2 linked regions of the Drosophila melanogaster genome follow. The protein of the gene in region 1 interacts with the protein of each later gene in a pairwise test. Each region holds a gene or a part of one and is shown on either strand. Other genes may lie near its edges.

Evidence for each region. Proteins that work in one complex are often made in the same cells at the same time.
Region 2: the proteins of CG17198 (region 1) and comm2 interact in a two-hybrid assay, tested with the Drosophila melanogaster proteins (one large-scale study listed by BioGRID).

Annotation. Positions count from the first base shown.
Region 1 is NT_033777.3:25,772,808-25,777,243, forward strand, and holds CG17198 (uncharacterized protein), read right to left. Parts: upstream 2,563-4,436; 5' UTR 2,475-2,562; coding exon of another isoform or gene 1,651-2,474; intron 1,593-1,650; exon of another isoform or gene 1,573-1,592; coding exon of another isoform or gene 1,525-1,572; coding exon 625-1,524; 3' UTR 527-624; downstream 1-526. Other genes in the region: CG17197 (uncharacterized protein), read right to left, coding at 1,524-1,572, 1,651-2,474; CG17196 (uncharacterized protein), read right to left, coding at 2,569-3,399; CG17195 (uncharacterized protein), read right to left, coding at 3,523-4,374.
Region 2 is NT_037436.4:15,697,094-15,701,459, forward strand, and holds comm2 (comm2), read right to left. Parts: upstream 2,758-4,366; 5' UTR 2,569-2,757; coding exon 2,109-2,568; intron 1,368-2,108; coding exon 796-1,367; 3' UTR 501-795; downstream 1-500.

The DNA of each region.
Region 1 (4,436 bases):
GACTTTTTTATTTGGCAATTATGTTGTTTAGACCTCGCAGCAGATTTCGCACCTCGAACATTTTTCATGCACCGAAACACGGAAACGCCCACTCATGGACTTTGATTCCATGTTTTGGGGCATGTCACTGGCATGCGCCGTCATTAATTCTACCATTTCCCAGCCCCCTGGACTCCCATGAATTGTCTATACCGACCGAGCTGTTGTTCTAGCCGCTTTCATTTTTCAAAACGGATTTCAGCTTTTTTCGACACTTGACAAGTGTTTTCGACTTGCGGCAGAAGGTGTCACAAGCCATGGACAGATTTGAGGTTGATTTCGTTGGGCAGGATGTACTTCTCAGCAATTTTCGTGGGCGGAGAGATATGCAAATGTAGGGCGTTTATGGCTTGAATTAAGGACTTCTATCTAGGCGAATTGTTTTTGTTTTGTGTTTTGTCTGCATTCAATTTTTATACATAGATATAAAGTCACTGTACACCTTTACACGTTTATTTTTGAACTAAGAAAATTGTCCGTGTTATTTATAGTCTATTACATTCTTTATTTAGCGACAAATACAACATAACGGAAATAGAATATAATCTTAATGGTCAAGAATAGATAGATGATATCAAATTTGGACTAGACGGCACGCTTCGATTTCCATCGGGTGCCATTGTGGGGCAGGGGACTTTTGATATTTGGCGATAGGCAAGTCCATAATCGCCGACTTCCCAGGATCAGGGTCAAATTATTCCCTAATCCAAGGTCATAGGTTCGATCAGAATAATCGTGCATTACTGAGTTTTTGATGACCGTCACTACTTGGGTGCAAAACAGTGCTGCTGGAAAGAGAACGGCGAATATGTTGACACCTAAGACACTGACTATTCGATAGAATATCACTAATTCTTTTCTACCAGGATTCATGTAAGCATTAAAAATAATGTAATTGGCTTTGACTAAATCAAAAAATCCAACACCGTGCTTATGGGCCAACATGAAGTTATCAAATAAGGCCACTGCGCTACCGATGGCCGCGTAAAATGAGAACCATATGAAATATCGCTGATTATTGTGTCCCACGCAGTTGCCCACAAAATTGCAGTGGTGATCGCGTTTCAGAATGCACGCATCACAGATGTTGCAGTGCCAGGACCTTGGCGGTACATTCCTTTGGCATATTTTGCAAAAATGCCACAGGTGCTCTTCACCTTTCATTGGCTGCTGCATTTGCGGCGGCAAAGAGTCCACAGTGTTCAACGTCGTGACGCACAGCCTTAAGTTTTCCAGAATATTGTAGACAATCCAAGTGGTGACTAAAAAATGAACCGCCTGTCCAAACAATCCCAAAAACTGTGGCATTACGTAGAAAGCTTCGAAGAAGTAGAAAAACAAGATTATGCAGACATTTATGGATACTCCCATGATATCTGTCCAGGATTTGATGGCCCCCACGCGTCTTGGGATGTTGATGGTCTGCATTTGAACTTGTGATTGCATGATGCCCCGAAGCTGTACAAATACATGAGAAATTTTCATCAATCGGATACACGGAGAAACTGTAATTTTGGTGAATGATGCTGAACACTATGATTAAAATACAAAAGGTGGTATATCATGTCAGTTTCAATATAGTTAAAATTTTTAAACTTGCTGATGTCGTACCGTTTGATCTTCCACTGGGCACCATCATGGGGCAGAGGACTCTTAACGGTGGGTGAGAGGAAAGTCCAAAAGCCTTTTCCGCCCAAAATCAGCTTGAAATTCTCCCACAAGCCCAGATCGTAGGTATCACTGTAAAACTTATGCAAAGTGCCATTATTTTTAAGTACAGATAATTGCATAAGCACCGAAGATACAGGGGCTGCAAATACGTAGGTGTTTAGTATAAGAGTGATGACCAGCCAAAATGGAGGTAAGTTATCCCTAGGGATATTTAGGAATATCAGGTCCGAATAGCTAAAATACTTTAGGGTGGCAATAATATGGGTAGCCAAGGCCACACCAGTTCCCAAAGCCATGAAGAGGGTGAACCAGAAAAAGTATCTCTGATTATTGTGTCCGACGCAACTGGCAGTGAAAATGCAGTGGCGGTCCCGCTTCAGAATGCAGCACTTGCACAATATACAGTGCCAGGATCTTGGAGGCATTAGTTTTTCACAAACATCGCAGTAATGCCACTGGTGCTCCTCTTCCGGCTCCGGAATTTGCCGATCCTTTGGCAGGCTCTCCACCGAAGTGCTTGTGATATGACACGCAAGCATATTGCCAAAGATATTATATGTTATAAAGATTGCCACTAGCCAGCCGAGCTTGTACATGAATCCTTGAACATCAAACAATTGGGGTACCACGTAAAACATTTGCAGGACCACAAAAAAGATCGTTGTCACGATTACGAATAGTACTGCGGTCGGATGGGAGATTCGAACGAATATCTTTGGATTTCGACGCGCCAAGTACTTGGTGCAGGCCCATATCAAACACATAATTTTCCGATTTTAAAATTATATATAATTCAGAGTGTAAGCTTGTGTTTTCTGATTTGATGTTGACGAGTTAAGCATTACGTAAAAATTTTCTTTAAAAACATTGCTTAATTTTCCAGTGAGTTCCATCATGCGGCAAAGGACTTCTCAGCGAGGGAGATATAAAAGTCCAGAGTCCTCGCTGACCCATAATAAGCTGGCAGTTATTTCGGAAACCCAAATCGTGATGGCGACTGGAAATTTGATAGTACGTTGAGTTTAACTTTAGAATCTGCACTTGAAATCTCAACATGAGGGCAGGGAATCCGAGGGCAAATATATTGAGAATCAAGCACACGTACCGAAAGTAACTTAAAGATTTTACTGTGTTTCCAAAACCAGCCTTCATTCTGTGCAAAAGATAAAAGCTCCTTCCCACATCAACAAATAGGGTTGCCATGCTCATGAAAATCCCAAATGCCAAATAGAATGTAAGCCAGAAGAAATATCGGTGATTATTGTGTCCGATGCAAGTGGCTGCGAAGATGCAGTGGTGGTCTCGCTTCAAAATGCAGCATTTACACAGTGCACAGTGCCAGGATCGTGGAGGCATCAGTTTCTGACAGATATCGCAATAATGCCACAGGTGCTCCGTTCCCGGTTTCGGAATTTGCCGCTCCTGAGGCAGACTTTTCACTGCTGAGCTTGTACGGTAGCAGGCCAGCAAGTTTCCCAGGATATTGTATGTTGTAAAAATCGCTGATATCACAAAGAACTTATACATAAAACCATCATGCACATCGGGGGCCACATAAAAGACCTGCAGCGTGAAGAAAAAAACCGTGCTCACCAGTAAAAAAATCACTGACAAAGGATGTCCTATGCTCACGGCCTTCTTAGGATAGAGATTGGCATATTCGCGGCACCAATCATTTACGATACACATGATTGTAGGATTTTGAATACAACACCGTATTTTCCACAACTTGACATTAGATGAAAATAAGTTATGATTGGCTTGTTAAAATCGATATATATTTTTCAATAATTTAGTAATACGTCTATTAATTTAGTGAGACTGCTTCATCTGCCAATGTGCACCGTCATGGGGCAAAGGACTCTTCAGCAAGGGCGATATAAAAGTCCAAAGTCCTCGTTGGCCCATTATTGTCTGGCAGTTCTTTCGGAAACCCAGATCGTAGGTGCAATCAAAAATATTATAGTAGGTAGAGTTTTGGCTTAAAATCTGCATTTGATATGCCAACATAAAGGCAGGCATATAGCTGGCGCTTATATTCAAGAGGAAGGCAATGGTCTCAAAAGTATTGCCAGTATAATTTTGGAAAAAAGTCCTAGTTATTAAATTAAAAATCACAGACGAGAGACTCATGAAGTTACCGCCATTCTGCAGGATAAACATACAAAATGTTGCAAAGCTTGTGACTAAGCCGAGCGTTAAATAAAATGTGAACCAGAAGAAAAAGCGTTGATTATTGTGTCCAATGCAAGTGCCCGTGAATATACAGTGGTGGTCCCGTCTCAAAATGCAGGTGTTGCACAAAACGCAGTGCCAGGATCGTGGCGATCTCAGCTTTTTACACGATTCGCAATAGTGCCACAGGGGCTCATCCTCTGGATTCGGGCATCGGGAGTCCTTGGACAAGGTGTTTACCGATGAGCTAGTCATATAGCAGGCCAGCATGTTACCAAGTATGTTGTGCGTTATGAAGGTGACCAATATCCAGTAGAGCTTGTAAGCAATGTCGCCAAACACTTTGGGCGCAATGTAAAACATCTGCAGTGAGAAGAAGAAAGCTGTGCTGCACAGGACGAAAACTATCGAAAGTGGATGCACTATCCTCACAAAGTTCTTCGGGTAGCGATTGGCAAAGTAATGGCAAAATCTATTCACGTAGCACATTTTTTAGGATTTTGAAAACTTCTGTTGTAAATTATAGACTAAATAGAAACATTTACATCACA
Region 2 (4,366 bases), on another chromosome or scaffold:
ATTTATTATGTCTATTGTCTCTGCCAGCGATTTGCATACCTATACATGGGTTTACTAGCTTATCAATGCGAAATTACAATTGCACAAAAGCATTGAGCGCACTGCAAGCACCGGCAGTCGAATAAGCTATCACGTCCTTAGCTCAATGTCAAATCGAACTGTCTCTATCTGTCTATCTATCCATCTATCTATCTATCTACGACAACTATCTCAATCTGCCGGATTGTTGATGTTGTGCTCCGGCATCCGAAGCTGGAAGCTATTTACAAAGCTCAGTGGAAGTGGGGAGTGGCACCGCCTGGCGAAAGGATTTGTATGCCATCTGTTCCTGGCGTCAATCAAATCAGTTGCTGCAGCATCAATGAATCAATTTGAATGTCAACTGATTGATGGCGAAATAATAATCAAAGAAGCTGGCGGCAGATGAAGAGCTCCATTCGGTGCTTCTAGCTTTAAGAGAGAGCTTGTTATTCGAGTAATAATTAAACCAACGATAATTTAAATTGTTAGGTGTATAATTTATTAATAATTAGTTTGTGGCCTACTTAAGTCTAGTAACAATATGCATCTTTGCGTTTCCATAAGTACTGGATACGATATCATTAAGTACAATGTGGCGAAACTATTCAGCTAACACATTTAGTAGCGAGTAGTATGTTTAGTTACGTCTTTTTGATAATCACAGCGCTTAGTTTAATTACATATGGGTATGTCTTTCCAGCATGAACATGAAAATATCACAGAGCTCAGTTGCTTGGCTAGGTATTCGTATTCGTATTCTCGTCACTTTTACCTTTACCGCTTGATATCGTCTTTCGACTGGCTGTCTTTTGACTTCGATTTCTTTTTCTCGTCGACGGTTTTGTACGAGCTGCCGAATACCTCCGCATAACTGGGCACAATTGGCATCATCACAAAGTTTGGCTTAATCGACTCGCACGTGGGCGAAGCTGCCAATGTTGCAGATGTTGCTGTTGCTGCTGTTACTGCTGTTACTGTTGCTGCTGCATGTGTTGCTGCTGCTGCTGTTGTTGCTGGGAGCAGCGGCATTGTGGCATCACAAAACGAAGGTGTCTGCGGTGCCAGGTGATTCTCGGGTGCGGCTGGAGGTGCTGATGTTGCAACTCCTGGATGCTGCAGCTCCTGGCTGCTCCTCTCCTGCTTATTGAACACATTGAACACACTCGGATAGACAATCAGGCAGGATGACTGCGGGGATTTTTGTAGCAGCTCCAGAGCCGCCTCGTAGCTGGGCAATCCAGATACTAGGGTGTATTCCGGAACCGGATCCTCCACATCCGGATGCAGTTTCAACGCCTCTATATCTACAATGGTGCACTGCGTCGAGCCATTTGCATTGTTGCGATCTGCAAAACAAAGAACAATAATTGTTTATTAGTATTTGCCTTCGTTGGATTGGAGTTGACTGGGCGAGATTAATGAAGACCTCGACCCAGTTGCAATATTACAATTGCTTCTGCCCGCATTTGTTTTGCCCTATTTGCTGGCTTTCATTTCCATTAACTTTTTAAATATTTTCTCTTCGCTGCATTCTTTTTCATAATTGCCTTGGCACCGCTTTCGAATTAAACTCGAGGTAGACGAATTTCTCTGAAATTTTTTGCCGCACTTTTCTGCCATTTCGTTGGCGATGTGCTAATTTTTTTCCAAGGTTTCGTGACTTTTTAGGCCGCATCACGAACTACAGAAAATTGGTGTTTGTTCTTGAACCTGACGACAGTTAACGAAATACTTCGCTTTTACGACCTCAAAAAAAAAAAAAAATAGATTGACGTAACAAAGTGAATCATTAGAGATGTGGAAGCACTTAAGACGGAATAAAATACGAAAAGATTTCCACTTCTAATGGAGTATATTTCCCTGATGACGGTTGAAGTCAGGTCACCTAATTTCAGCAATAAAATCGTTTATAATGGCCTGGAATTTCGACTTGTTTATGTGGCTTGAATTGTGTGAGTGTTTTTTTTTTTTTTTTTTTGGCAGTACTGGCTAATCAAAACAGGCAGTCGATAAGATCTTAATCTCAATTAACAAATATATACGGATGCCATATGAACATTTTCCCATTTCTAATGCGGAATACTTACAATTGCGTTTCCAGGTGCGGAACTGATGGTACAGGAAGCAGGAGCAGATGCAGAAGACCATCGAGATGAGGATCAGGGTGAAGACGATGCCGATCCACACCTCGTTCATGAATTTATCGTACTCCAACTGCTGCTGCAGCTGATCCACACTGCTGCTGTCCAGAATCACCCGATTGGCCAGATCGAAATCCATGATCTCCTCGCTGGTGGAATTCCTCGGATGGCTGACTTCGTTGAGCTGATGCTGATGTTTCAGTTGGATGGAACTGAGGATCTGCTGGCCAATCTGTTTCAGGAAATCACTGCTGGAGATGGCATCCAATGTGGTGATGGTCGGGGTGGAGGCTTCAGGAGAACTTCTCCCGCTGTTCAGAATCTTCTGAGCTGCGGCACCGGCGTAATGATCGAAATGCAAATCGTGCGAGAGTTCGTAGTTTAATGCGCGCGGCAATTCCTCCATGGTTTACTTTTATATCGGTCGACTGGCGGGTGTAATCTCTATTTGTATCTATATCTCTGCTGTTGTATCCGTTGCGGCACACTTTCACTGCTGCGATATCGGTATCTGTATCTCGTGGATCGTTCTTAGTCTCCGGTTTCTTTAAACGAACGCACACGTCCGTCGACGTCTGAGTCTACAAACAAACTGATTTGAGCGGCCGATCGTCGAGCGGTCAAGCCGAGCAGCTCCACGAGTTTAACTCCATTCCACTCAAGAGAGAACCGAACCGAGCCGACTCGAGTCGATCCGATCCGATCCCATCCGGTCCGGAGTGTAAATCCAAATCTACCTGGCCAAGATCTCGATCACTCCTCTCTTCTTGCTCATTTGCCGCTCGGATACGCATCGCTGAGAACGTTCTCTCGCCGTGAAACGATCTTGTATCTTGTAATTCCCATTTCGATTCCGATTCCCGGAGCGCATCTTTTGTGCTCCCACAGAAACTGACAATGCCCAGGAATTATGGGACCATAATTGGCGTTACAAAGCGGCGCACATGTTGCTCAAGCAGAAGAGAGGGAAAAGGGAGAGGATTTGGGATGGGAATAGGGATTGGGAAGGAGAGAGGATAGAGGGACTACCCTGTGGCATCGATCTTCATTTCTCTGGCGGCTCCTTCGATTTCGGATCGTTCTGCAGCCGGGCAAATGACATATCTCCATTTCCTTGCAGTCGAAAAAAATAGGGAAAATTATTTTGTCAATAGGAAATTATAGAATGTATTGTATATTGAAAAAATTGAAATATTAATTATGTCGAAAAAGGAGCAAGGACTTACATGATAAGTGACTATACCCAAATGTATGACTTTAAAATTGATTTAAAAATTTGATATAAGCATCAAATACTAAAGGTGTTTAAATAATTATTCGTTTTTTTGTCGATCTTTCTTGTCATTATTCGAACTTTTATGGGTATCTTAGAAATTTCTTCCTCAAATTTCACGGCACATTTTTCCGCTAGGTGTACAGTTCAGTTCTTGTTCCGCTGCATTGTTCGCCGGGGAAAGAGAAATTATTGCTGTAGGATAATGTGTTTGTGGGACTGTTGTTGTTGCCCAAAGGGGCCCGAGACTTCTCTTCTTCTTCTTCAATTTTGTCTTATTTTTTCCTTTTGGCTCGGTGGAGTTTTAAATTACAGCTACGTGCAGATATCTTATTTCGGGCAGCAATTTTGTGGGCGACGCGATGATCACCTGGCTTTGGGTTGATCACTTTTTGGCGATAGCAGCAGGTAGGGTTAGGTCTTTGCTTTTGGATCTTGAGAATGGAACCGGGAACGGGGATTGGCACTGAGGATCGAGTAGATACAATAGTTGTCCATTTATGGGATTGATGTGTGTGTAATTGGAGGTTTTGTGGATGAGCAGGGAAAGCTGACGGGGGATTATCCTTGCAATCAAAGAGGCGCAGACTAGGGTATGACATAATCTTTGGAAAATGGTTTCGGGATTGCCTCTTAACGGTTGTCAATGCAAATACCAAGACATTAAAGGTAGCATATTTAAGTATTGAAATAATTATTTTACTTAAACTTCTATGAGCCTCTGGAACTAATTTCCCACCGAGTCGCAAAATTAGCTGTACTGGTTGGTGGTAAAACACATTTCTAAGCATTTTCTCCGGCCCCATAACAGCCCAATAAATCAACTATAACTCTATAGCCATCCCCTAATAATTAACTTTGAAGTGCCCCCTCCGAAATGCGTTGCCATTTCCCATTACGAGGCCCCCGTCGATAAAAATCACATAAATAC